Linked DNA regions of Mus musculus: regions 1, 2 and 4 are each reported to be linked to region 3. The links are microRNA targets in miRTarBase. Many come from high-throughput screens and were not tested one by one. Region 3 holds a microRNA gene; each other region holds the end of a gene's coding sequence.

The links. Region 3 holds the annotated microRNA mmu-miR-669p-5p (AGUUGUGUGUGCAUGUUCAUGUCU, at 1,531-1,554, shown strand). A microRNA usually pairs through its seed, bases 2 to 8, with sites in the 3' UTR of a target mRNA and lowers its output. Matches are read on the target gene's strand: a 7mer-m8 pairs with bases 2 to 8, a 7mer-A1 pairs with bases 2 to 7 and ends in A, and an 8mer does both.
Region 1: the mRNA of Xk is a reported target of mmu-miR-669p-5p. Seed matches in the 3' UTR shown: 8mer at 2,792-2,799.
Region 2: miRTarBase lists Lrtm1 as a target of mmu-miR-669p-5p. The part of its 3' UTR that is shown has no 7-base or 8-base seed match.
Region 4: the mRNA of Slc31a2 is a reported target of mmu-miR-669p-5p. Seed matches in the 3' UTR shown: 8mer at 1,314-1,321.

The regions. Positions count from the first base shown.
Region 1 is chrX:9,309,377-9,312,376 of GRCm38, forward strand. It overlaps Xk (X-linked Kx blood group), which reads left to right. Exons shown (of 3, transcript NM_023500.2): 3 at 1-3,000. The coding sequence ends at 373. Among named protein-coding and RNA genes, the nearest start is that of Gm25481, 6.9 kb to the right of the region's middle.
Region 2 is chr14:29,027,211-29,030,210 of GRCm38, forward strand. Lrtm1 (leucine-rich repeats and transmembrane domains 1) reads left to right here. Exons shown (of 3, transcript NM_176920.4): 3 at 114-3,000. The coding sequence ends at 544. All of the region lies in intron 27 of Cacna2d3 (calcium channel, voltage-dependent, alpha2/delta subunit 3), which reads right to left. Among named protein-coding and RNA genes, the nearest start is that of Lrtm1, 11 kb to the left of the region's middle.
Region 3 is chr2:10,492,513-10,495,664 of GRCm38, forward strand. Mir669a-9 (microRNA 4669a-9) reads left to right here and starts at 1,516; the gene lies at 1,516-1,602. The region is part of intron 10 of Sfmbt2 (Scm-like with four mbt domains 2); the gene reads left to right. Mir467a-7 (microRNA 467a-7) reads left to right here and starts at 998; the gene lies at 998-1,080. Mir466b-6 (microRNA 466b-6) reads left to right here and starts at 1,286; the gene lies at 1,286-1,375.
Region 4 is chr4:62,296,965-62,299,964 of GRCm38, forward strand. It overlaps Slc31a2 (solute carrier family 31, member 2), which reads left to right. Exons shown (of 4, transcript NM_025286.3): 4 at 11-1,448. The coding sequence ends at 179. Among named protein-coding and RNA genes, the nearest start is that of Slc31a2, 12 kb to the left of the region's middle.

The sequences.
Region 1 (3,000 bases), not on the chromosome of region 3:
GAGATTCATCGAGAACTCCGTCCTCCTGCTCCTGTGGTATTTTTTTAAAACTGACATATACATGTATGTGTGTGCGCCTCTGTTGATCTTGCAGCTGCTTATTGGGTACTGCACTGGCATTCTCTTCATGCTTGTGTTCTATCAGTTTTTCCACCCTTGCAAAAAGCTCTTCTCCTCCAGTGTTTCGGAAAGCTTTAGGGCACTTCTCAGGTGTGCCTGTTGGTCCTCCCTGAGGAGAAAATCCAGCGAGCCAGTAGGAAGGATAGACACAGACTTAAAGGCGTGCACAGAGCAAGATGTAATGCCTACTACCAGTAAAGTGATCCCCGAGGCCACTGACATCTGGACTGCTGTTGATCTGTGCTCTGCTTAATGAGACCCGAGGCTTCTGACAAGTAATGAGCCTTCACACACATCATGAGCCCTGCGCAGGGACTAAGGCACGAAGTTAGCTGTCAGTTCCCTGTGAGCTGCTACCTTTTATAAACCCCTTGGCTTTGAGGCAGCTTTGAGTGCATTAAAGAAGCCTACTACCCCACAGTTTGTTTCGCATTTGACTCTGTTCTGTTCTTGCATCCTCACTGGCCATTTCATTGATTGACACAGTATCCCTGAAGTTTCAGTTGAGCTGGTCATACTCATCATTAGAATGAAGAGAAATGCTCGTTTTCTAGTTCCTAGCCTGTTGTCTCAGTAGCCTAATGCTTTACTACTACTGAATATAGCTTTATACAAGAGTCACCATGATAGCTGGGATAGGTTCCTAGGGATTTTACAACTTTGTTCCAATTATAGCTTATAGGAGAGCTATTTAAGTTTGTTTTATTGGTATGTTCCATTTTCACCTCACTAAGACTTTTTGTACATAACCAACTGTAGCCACTCTGGCATGCAATGTGCATTTTGTTTCAAGGGCCTACATTTGGGACTTTAGGATCCATTGGTACAGTTACTTAGGAAAGCCGTGTTTCATTCCACATGTTGAAGAAAGTAGGGATCAGGATCGATTGAGACAACTGTTAAAACATCAAAAACGATGGAAGCTCATACAAATATCTAAATGTTTAAAATATGAATTGCTCAGAAGGTAGGCTTCATTCTCCTCATAATTCAGGCTTGTCCTATAATTCTGAGAAATTTCTAGTAGAATTTTCTAAGATTAATATTTTAAGAAGGAAGAAAATAAAACTAATAGTCTCCACCTCTATCTTTCCCTTCCTTGCGTGCCAGGCAAGTTTTAAACAAGCCTTTTAACCTCAGTTCATTTGCTGTTGTTTCTAGAAAGCTCTGTAGAAATCTGTTTCCTGATGCAAGTATACAGGACATTTTATTTTTCACAATCTTAAGAAAAAGAAGTGTTTTCCTCACTACCATCCTTAGTTAGAAATGTTGATCTTAGAAACTTTTTAAGTTATAGAAAGTAATGAAATGATCAAGTTTTTGTTCCTCATGAAATCCATTTTGACTTAATAGCAGTTCATTTTCATGAGATACTCAGTTTTGTCCTCCACACCATTTCATCTAATGGATAATTTCTCTCTCATCTGGAAGTATTTATTTTAATTTAAAAGGGTTGGATAGAATATTGTCAGTACTCTGACAAAGGTGCCAGCAAGCAATGCTATGATCTCTACCACTAAATGTGGATGATGAAATGTCTACAAACAAGTGACCATGAAATTCACACCAACTTAACTTGAAAATTGTAACAAAATGTAATGCATTTCCAAAGGCACCCCTATTTGTGATTCTATGGGATAGAATAGATATTCAATTTTCTGATCACCTAAATACATAAAACACATTTATCTGGCCATCATACTCCTCATAATTGCTTTTTAAAAACTCTTTTGGTATCAAATTGATGAGAAATTTCATAAACAAATGAACATTCAGTTTGGTAAGTATTTTACTATACTAGAGGCTTCGTAAAATAGTAAGTATTCTTTGATGTGTCATTCACGCTGTTAATCTTTGTACCATTTTGTATGCACACATTTCAGTAAGGTTCTGAACCACAGAGCGTCCGTTTTCTTTCCTGAAATATTTTTCCTCATTTGTACTTCTTCTGTTTTACCAGGATTTGTGGTTTACCTGTATGAGAATGCATAGGCAGCCCATCATTTTTGATCACTTTTAACATATAAAAGTCAAATTGATGTTTGTCTGTTTGCTGTTGACCCCTGTACCACTTTTCCTGTTTGTAATACATCTAGATCTAGTTAGTGTACATCATCAAAGTGATACTTTATATGACAGATAAATCTTTGTACTTTTCTTGCTCAGAGGTACAAAACTGTTGAACATACATAGCAAGTACAGGGAAAGTACAGGGAAAACAAGCTTAAAATGCTAAAGCACTCCTGTTTGGGTTATTAAGAAATCCAAAATGATTGAAAGGGTAGGAAGAACATCCCTAGGTCAACCCAAAATGCTCTTCTCTGTCAAATCATTTCCTTATGTTTACAGGCACCAGGTGTTTTCAGTCTTTAATGTGAAGAAAATCCTTTCCTTGAAGCTTTCCAGTGACTGAGGGGAGAGATGGTACCCATTTCCAATTTCAGGTCATGCCTTGAGAGTGAGATTAGCGCCACTCTGACACTTCCTAGGCAGGTTCGGAATTAGACAAGGGTAAGGATACTTGTATTTTTCCAGCCTTGGTTTAGAAGCATGACCCAGAAATACTTTTAAACTCTTAATTTTCAAATATATTGTAAGCCCTTTTACCTTAGTCAGTTGGTAAGCATCTTGAATGACCTCAAACCAAACTAACTAGCAGTGATAAACTATCACACAACAAAGGCCCGCCCAGGTCCCGCTTTATAAAGACAGGTGTTTTTTTATTTTGTATTTTTAGCTAATTAGATATTATTTCAGTCTCTTGATAAGTAGGCTTTTTCCTTGTGCAGTCCCACAAGCTTACTTAATTATTCTATGCATCCATTTCCTAACTTACCAAATTAACATGATACGATATAGTATTCCAACTTACCTCATAAA
Region 2 (3,000 bases), not on the chromosome of region 3:
CCTAACAAATTCCTAGCCATAAATAATTGTCTATTTACTCTGTGGCAGGCTGAGGACTTTGGAATACTGCTGTATCAAAGCTCCATCATCATTCTTTGCTTTGTTTCTTGAAGGGGGAGAAACAGATGGTGCCATCTGCAGGCTGCCTGAACCCTGGCAGGGAAAGGCTCTCCTCTCCATTCCTCACGAACTGTACCAACCCTGTTCTCTACCTTCTCAGGATTTGGCACCCTCACTAGTCCAGCAGCCTGGTTCTGCCCCGCAAGATGCCCAGAAGTCTCATGAGAATAGCTCAGGACAGCAAGATCCCTTGGAGTGTGAGGCCAAACCCAAACCAAAGCCAACCAACCTGCGCCATGCTGTGGCTACTGTGGTCATCACTGGGGTAGTATGTGGGATCGTATGTCTCATGATGTTGGCGGCTGCTATCTATGGATGTACCTATGCAGCCATCACAGCCCAGTACCAAGGGAGACCCTTGGCATCAGCCAGGAAGTCTGAGAAGATGGGAAGTAAGGAACTTATGGACAGTTCATCAGCCTGAGAGCCTTCATTTCCAAGGTCCCCTCGATCACTGAGGGCCCGGAAGAAATATCTGAGTGAGCTTGATGTGTTCGATGCTCCTGTCCCATGTTTTATCTTCCAAAACAACTAAGGAAAAAATGTATCCAAAAAATAAAACAAAGTACTCAGTAGGAAGAAGTTTAAATACCATAGATATAATAGACACACTCATATCTTGCAACTGAGAAGATATGACAAGAAGTCTATGTGTAGGAACAAAAAGAAGAGCGACGCCATCTCTTTTAGGTACCTGTTTCTGGATTAAGCTGGATTCTGCAGAGCAATAAGAATTCGGACATGTGTGCCAATAGGCATTTTTAAGAGCTCTGGGGCCACCAGTTGGAGTGCCTGGGAATTGGCTAGTGCTCTTACCCGACCCGTACTGGCTGCCTCTTAATTCCAGTTCATGCTAGATTGGTAGGATGTTGAGATGTTGCGTATGTTACACATTTAGTGGAAATGTCTGTTGGTTGGGAATTTCATAGCTGGCCACAAGACTCAGATTATATTTAATTTTCTAAATCAGAAAACCATTTGGGGCTCTCTAAGCTGCAGGGGAAGATGAAGGTTCCATGTCTGGATAATGGGACTCAGGCCCGGAGCCTGGGCAAGGTTTTGATGTGAAGGAACACAGAGAGAATAGTAAACTAGAATACAGGGCAGATATCATCAAGAGACCATATCCACCAAGCAATGGGAACCTTATCCTAGAACTCTCCCAGCAGGGATGGCTTTTGCTTAGGCTGAATGGTGGCTGTGTCTCTGCATCCACATCTACATCTGCAGTGCACAGAGGGCATGGATTTGTACAGCTACACCCACACATAAACACCCTTGGAGCAATCAGCTTACCCACTAATGAAATGCAGCCGTGTCGGGTGGGAGCCAGTAGCTGTTGATCACCACCCAGATTGTATGCTCAACACTCTGGGATAGGAAATAAGAAGGAAGTTTGAGGGGGAGTGGGAGTTACTGGGGGGTGGGCGCGGGACTCGAGGCACTGGAGGGCAGACATCCTGGCTAGTGCTTCAGCATGGCTTTAAAAAGTTCAGGTATGGCTTGCAGAGTCCACAGACTTAGTCTGAGAGAGTTGCATGCAAAGTGAATTTTTATAAATTGAATCATCATTTGAATGCAGCAGGGGAGCTCGCTATTTAAAGGAACCTTTCATGGAATCTTTTCTGTAATGGAAATAATTGGCTCCAGATTGATGCATTTTTTTTCCAAATTTGCATTTCTATGCTAGGGTTTCTTAAAGTGGAATATACCTATACCTACTCTTTCTGTTTACACTACAGGCACATTTTAGGATTATAACTCTTTTGCACAGGAAGAGAGCACAGAGGAGTTAAAGACATGTTAAAGGCAGAAAATGACAAATATGGGGCAAGCTGTTCCTCTAGAGCCCATGACAGACATTGCTAATCAATCCCAGCTCTTTTCCCAGCTGAGCCTCAAATATACCACAGATGGTTTCTTAAGACAGCACTATAGGCAACCAGAACTAATCAATTGGAGTTGGTTCAAAGGATAAAGCACATTTGCCATTCAGGGTACTGGCTCGACTTCACCCCTCAAGGCCATGTAAAAATTGGTTTGGATCCCCAGTCAGTTGTCTACTCCTCAACCGGAATATAAATGGGATGTGCACATGTTGGGATGGACAGCTGTTGAGTGTGCTATAAGCAATGGAAACCTTGTATATACCAGTGGGCTAAGGGCAGACTGTCATTTTGGAGTATCAATTCAGCTACATAATTTTTTTTAATAGCAGAAGAAGTTTAAATGTGAATGGTCACAATGAACCCCATTAGTGCATGTAATTAATATGCATTAAAAATTATAACGTGTAAGGGAACAGCACACCAAGATTTCCCAGCAAAGGCCCACAGCTGCATGGGCTGTCATTTGCCCTGACATCTCTCTTTTGTGCCAAGGTAGCTCAATTCAACTGTGTGACTGAGTTTCTATTCTAAGGATGTAGCAACTACTTTCAAACTAAAAAAAAAAAAAGCATTTCTTTCCATTGTCCTAACTGCACCTTTTTTTTTTTCCTTTTGGCCAAAAACATAATGCGAGAGGAAATTGAGAAAGTTCCTTTACTCTTCCTCTTGATTTGGCCAAATGTTCTTCAAGCTCACGCTGTTAGCAGGCATGGCTCACTGTTCTCATGAGCATTCCTCATAGAATTCTGACACTCGCCCCGTGGAGTCTTGGGCAGCTAGCACATGCCCTAAGAACTCCCAAGGCCAGCAGTACATACCTCCTCTAACAAGTGATTTAGGACTGCAAGTGTACTCTGCCCTGTCAGTGGTTTGGCGATGCTGCAGATCAGCCTTGCCCTCTCCTCTCAGAGATTACATAAAAGAGTTTCTAGTACACTGCGCAAACCATGAACGTGGCGCAAACCCTCGCCTGTCAACACCCTGATCCTAT
Region 3 (3,152 bases):
ATAGGAATGGCCAGAGCTATGTCTCAGTTAGGAGGTGAGCACTCTTGCCAGTGTCAGGAGGATGAGGAGTTCAAATTCATGTTTAACTTCATGATGAGTTAGAGTTCAGCATGCGATTCATGTGATGCCCACCAAGAATGTGCAGGTGTGTATAGTTGTGTACATATTCACTTCTGTATATGAATATGCATATACTCACATGCAAACATACTCCCACGAATGGCCCGTGCTATGACTCAGTTAGGAGGTGAATACTCTTGCCAGCATCATGAGGATGAGCAGTTCAAATTCATGTTTAACTTTATGATGAGTTAGAGATCAGCCCGGAATTCATGTGATTTTCCCTGTGTTTGTGTTTATGTGTATAGGGAAGTATGCCTGTACATGCGCGTATATGAACATGCATATATATATATATATATATATATATATATATATATATATATATATATATATACACCCACACAACTAGGGACACATTCATGTGCACACAAACACACATGGCAGTCATCCATTTGATTTATACGTGCTTAGAGTTTCATTGAGTGTATATTCATGGTATAGGGAATAATGTCACTTATCAGATGAAAACCACTTGCCAGAGTTAAAAGTCTCAGGAGTTCAAATTCATGCTTAACTTCATAATGAGTTAGAGATCACCCTGTATTTGTGTGATGGATCCTAGGTATGCACAAGTGCATATAATTGTGTGTGCACGTACATGTGTGTATATGATCATACATATAAATACACACACATACAAATGTATTCACACACACAGGCATGCACACTCACACACATAAGAATGACACTCATTGATCCATTTGAATGATTTATGTCTTAGAATTTTGCTGATTATAAAGTAGAGGGACAGTGAATATTCTCACTCACCAGGTGTAAACAATTGTCAGTGTCAGGAGGATCAGGAGTTCAATTTCATGCTTAACTTCATGAGCAGTTAGAGATCATCCTGGAATAATGTGATGGCCCCTATGTATGTGCCTGTGTGCGTAAGTGCCTGCATGTATATGCGTGTATATTTTATGCATATACATACACACACCTACACACACATGCACACAGACATGCGGGAATGGCCCTCACGGATCCATTTGAATGAAATGTGACCTACTGCTTTGGAGGTTATGTATGACTGGGCCAGGGTGAGGTCTCACAAACCACAGGAAAACCCTTGGTAGATTCGAGAAGATCAGGAGTGCAAGTTCATGGTAAAGGCATGATGAGTTAGAGGTCATCCTGGCATTCATGTGATTGCCCCTATGTATGTGTGTATGTGTTGATGTGTGTGTACATGTACATGTGTGAATATGATATACATATACATACACGCACACATAAGACACATATGAGCACACAGACACATGGGAATGGCACTCATCAATCCATTTGAGTGATAAGTGACTTAGAGTGAAAATGCTTGCTAGAGTTAAGAGTATCAGGAGTTCAAATTCATACTTATCCTCATGAGAGATCAGCCTGTGATTCCTCCATGTATGTGCATGTGTGTATAGTTGTGTGTGCATGTTCATGTCTATATTTGAATATACATAACATACACACACACGTATAAACGCAAGCACACATACACAGACACAGGAATGGCATTCGCCAATCCCTTTGAATGATAAGTGATGTAGAGTTTTAGAGATTATGCAATAGGGGGCATTGAATGTCCTCACTCACCAGGTGTAAACGATTGACAAAGTCAGGAGGATAAGGATTGCAAATTCATGCTTAACTTCATTTGGAGACATCTTGGTATTAATGTCATGCAACCCATGTATGTGCATGTGTGCTTACTTGTATGTGCATTGTATGTGTTGACATGATATACATAACATAAACACACGTGTATATGCAAGCACACACACACAGGAAAAAATTGCATTCATTTATACGTTTGAATGATACGTGACTTAAAGTTTTCAAGATTATGCAGTAGTGGGACAGTGAATGGTTTTACTCACCAGGTGTGAAAGATTGTGGATCAGGAGTTCTAATTCATGCTTTACTTCATGATGACTTAGAGATATGCCTGGGATTCATGTGATGCCCCCTATGTATCCCTATCTGTATCTGTTTCTATTGTGTGTGGATTTGAGTATATGGATGTACCTATCTACACAAATATATACATGTACACAGACACAAACAGTAACACACACACAAACATGAATGCAACTCATCGATCCATTTGAATGATATGTGACTTAGAGTTTTAAGATTCCTCATTACTGAATGGGGAGAGGTCTCACTCAGCAGGAGAAATCCCTTGACAGAGTCAGGTGGATCAGGAGTTCAAATTCGTGCTGAATTTTGTGATGAGTTCATGATCAGCATGGGATTCATCTTATGCCCACCAAAAATGTGCATGTGTGTATAGTTGTGTGCATATTCACTTCTCTATATGAATATGCATATACACACATGCACACACATTCATAGGAATGGCCAGAGCTATGTCTCAGTTAGGAGGTGAGCACTCTTGTCAGTGTCAGGATGAGGAATTCAAATTTATGTTTAACTTCATGATGAGTTAGAGTTCAGCATGCGATTCATGTGATGCCCACCAAGAATGTGCATGTGTGTATAGTTGAGTACATATTCACTTCTGTACATGAATATGCATATACTCACATGCAAACATACTCCCACGAATGGCCCGAGCTATGACTTAGTTAGGAGGTGAATACTCTTGCCAGCATCATGAGGATGAGCAATTCAAATTCATGTTTAACTTTATGATGAGTTAGAGATCAGCCCGGAATTCATGTGATTTTCCCTGTGTTTGTGTTTATGTGTATAGGTGAAGTGTGCGTGTACATGCGCGTATATGAACATGCATATATATATATATATATATGTATATATATATATATATATATATATATATATATACACACACACACACACACACACAACTAGGGAAACATACATGTGCACACAAACACACATGGCAGTCATCCTTTTGATTTATACGTGCTTAGAGTTTCATTGAGTGTATATTCATGGTATAGGGAAAAATCTCTCTTATCAGATGAAAACCACTTGCCAGAGTTAGGAGTCTCAGGAGTTCAAATTCATGCTTAACTTCATAATGAGTGAGAGATCACCCTGTTTTTGTGTGATGG
Region 4 (3,000 bases), not on the chromosome of region 3:
TTATGTCTAGGTGGTTTTTGTGTTACTTTGGCCAGTCCCTAGTCCATGTCATTCAGGTGGTAATTGGCTACTTTGTGATGCTGGCTGTCATGTCCTACAACACCTGGATTTTCCTCGGTGTGGTCCTGGGCTCGGCTGTGGGCTACTACCTAGCCTACCCACTTCTCAACATGACTTAGTGGGCCAGAGATGTGCAGTGCGGAGGGCTGGAGAGAGCTGGGGCCTCTGTTCCAGACATTGTACTTCAGCTGCTTTTCCTTATGGTGGCCATTGCTCACCTCTTTCCCAGTTCCTGGAGACTTTGAGATGAAACCAGCAAATGGTCCCTGGAGCTTAGAAGCCATTGAAGCTACCTCCCTCCCCAGCCTCTCTAGGGCCCAGGCTCCTGTGGTGCCTTAAGCAAGTAGCTGTGACCAAAGGGAACATGGAGAGACCAGAAGCTGGAGGTAGGGTGGCCAGCCTGTGACACAGATCTCTGACTGCAAATTAAAGTTTTCCAAAGAGCTTCAGTGGTCAAGGCCATGGAACCTGGATACTCTCTTCTGCTTTGTGCCTTAATGTCAGGGTCATCTCCAGCCTTTAGGGGACAGACCACGCCAGCTCCTTGTTCTCACCTTTTTGCCTTGGAACACATGAGGATTGTCATTGACAAAACAAGCTTTTCATTTTCAACTCCTGGTTGGCAGTTTTGCACATTCATACAAAACAAAATTTCTAATGAACTCATTGTATTCAGGATGGATGGCAGTGTCTGTTGAGACTTGTCTCCCCTTCTCGAGGGAAGACTGATGCTGATTAAAGGCAGAGACCCAGGACTGTTACTGAGGCTGTGGGCTTGTCCTGTGTACAGATGAGCTCTTCCTGTCTGACAGCACTGCCTGCAGCAGGTTAGTGGTCAGAGCCTTGCCCGAGCCTCTTGTGTGCACCAGAGAGGACAGCATCTGATAACAGAGCTGACTGCCCCTTATATTTCCTTACTGCTAACTCCTAATGATCTGGTAGGAAATGTGAGTCAGTCACTTTAGTACTGACTCAGCAGGGGTGTGCTGGGGCTGGGTACTGACTGAGGGTGCAATAGCAATCAAACCAAAGCTAGGTCATTTTAAGAGTTTGGTGGACTCCAGATATTTGAGCCTTTTCACTTTACACAGAAAAGTTAAGACAGGAATGGGGACATATACCTGTAATCTTCAGGATGTGGGAGGCTGAGGCAGGAGATTGCGACTTTGAGGCCAGCTTGAGCTACATAGAGAGTTGCAGGCCAGCCTGAGATACACAGTAAAACACACACACACACACACACACACACACACACACAACAATCACTGCTACATACTTTATAATGTCTGTGTTCAAGTACCTCATGGGCCCAATGAAAAGATGGTTTTAAGAAGTTTTGGGAATTAAAAACAAATACACTTTAATAAATTTCTATTTTTGAACAGTCTGTGTTTGTTGGTCCGTTTCTTCTCTTTCCAACAGTACACATTACCAATGCAGGCACTGGGGGACACTCTGTAAGACCAAGGACTAAGGCTGCCTGTGATAAAGACACCTCTATGTGCAGGGAAACTGAGGCCGGAAATGTGCCTGTGGGTAGATTAGTCATGATAGGTTCATTAGCAAGTTACTGCTTGGAACAAGTGCCTGCTGTAGGGAGAGTAACTGTCATGTTGGCCTGAGAGTCAGCACCTTCCCATCCTGGGGGGCAGAAGCAAAACCCTGGTCATCTTTTTATTTGCAGTAAGAAGCAAGTGTCACAGGTGTGGAAGAGGGCACCTGTGGGGTTGCTTGCTGCCCACTCTAGTGGAGTTGTGACCGCCTGTGCTGGCCAGCATCTGCTCTGGGGGCACTGCTGGGATGGACAATTCCATGAGTGATTGTCAGGTTTCTCAATACTGTTTTATTACAGTCACGGTATTTGAGACTTTAGTGGAGTAGGGGTCTTTATAGGTGCTGACTAGTTGGACAGAGTCGCACTTGATGCAATTATTGCCTCATTCCATCCTCACTACCACACAGGAACTCTGCCTTCATCCCAGAGATGAGGAAGCTGAGCACGAGACAGTCACCTGAGGATGAGCAGCTGCGTGGCACTCAGTGTTTCCTCAGACTCTGATGAGGGTCAGAGGTGGCTCAGCGCCTGTGGTATACGCACGTGGGCTCAGACTGCAGGTGGTGATTGTTCTTTGTTTCCACAATGGCTGGAAATTCTCTCCGGTTGGGAGGTAGGGCCAGGTGCCTGAATTTTTTTTTTTTCTTTAGGGCTAGAGCCAAATCTAGGGCATGTGCATGCTGGGCAAGTGTTCTACCACTGAGATACACAGTCCTGGACCAGTATTCCCAACAAGCAAGATTGGCAAGGACGGAGGACAAGAGCTCAGCTCTTGATCAGCTGGGCAGGATCAGAATTCTTGTCCTGCTTGCTAGCTATGTAACTGTGGGCAGGTTACTCTGCTCCTCTAAGCCCACTTTCTCCTCTGTAAAATTGGGATAACAGAGCATGACCAACGGTTAACAGCATCTGTTGCCCTTTTAGAGGACCTGGGTTTGGTTCTCAGCACCCATAGTAGCTCATAACTGTAGCACCCAGTTCCAGAGGCTCTGCTGCCTTCTTCTGGCCTCTGCATACACATAGACACACATGCAGGCCAAACACACATACATATCAAGTAAAAAGTAATCTTTTAAAAAATGGGGATAACAGCGTCTTCTGCAGTGACTGGTAGTGTATACAGACTGTGTCACTGCCACCAGTGCAGAAGACACTGTTATCCACATTTTATAGAGGAGAAAACTTAGGCTTAGTGGTCAACGTAACTTGTTTAACCAATAATTCAGTCTTTCTCAATGCGTCCTAGGCCCAAATGTAGGACAGGCACAAAGCCTGCCAGGGTAATGGCCAGATGCAGACGGAATTCAGGATACAGTCTTACAAACATTTAAAATCATGCAAAATCATTTTTGTTTAAATTATTCTGTTTTTAAGATGGGCTCCAT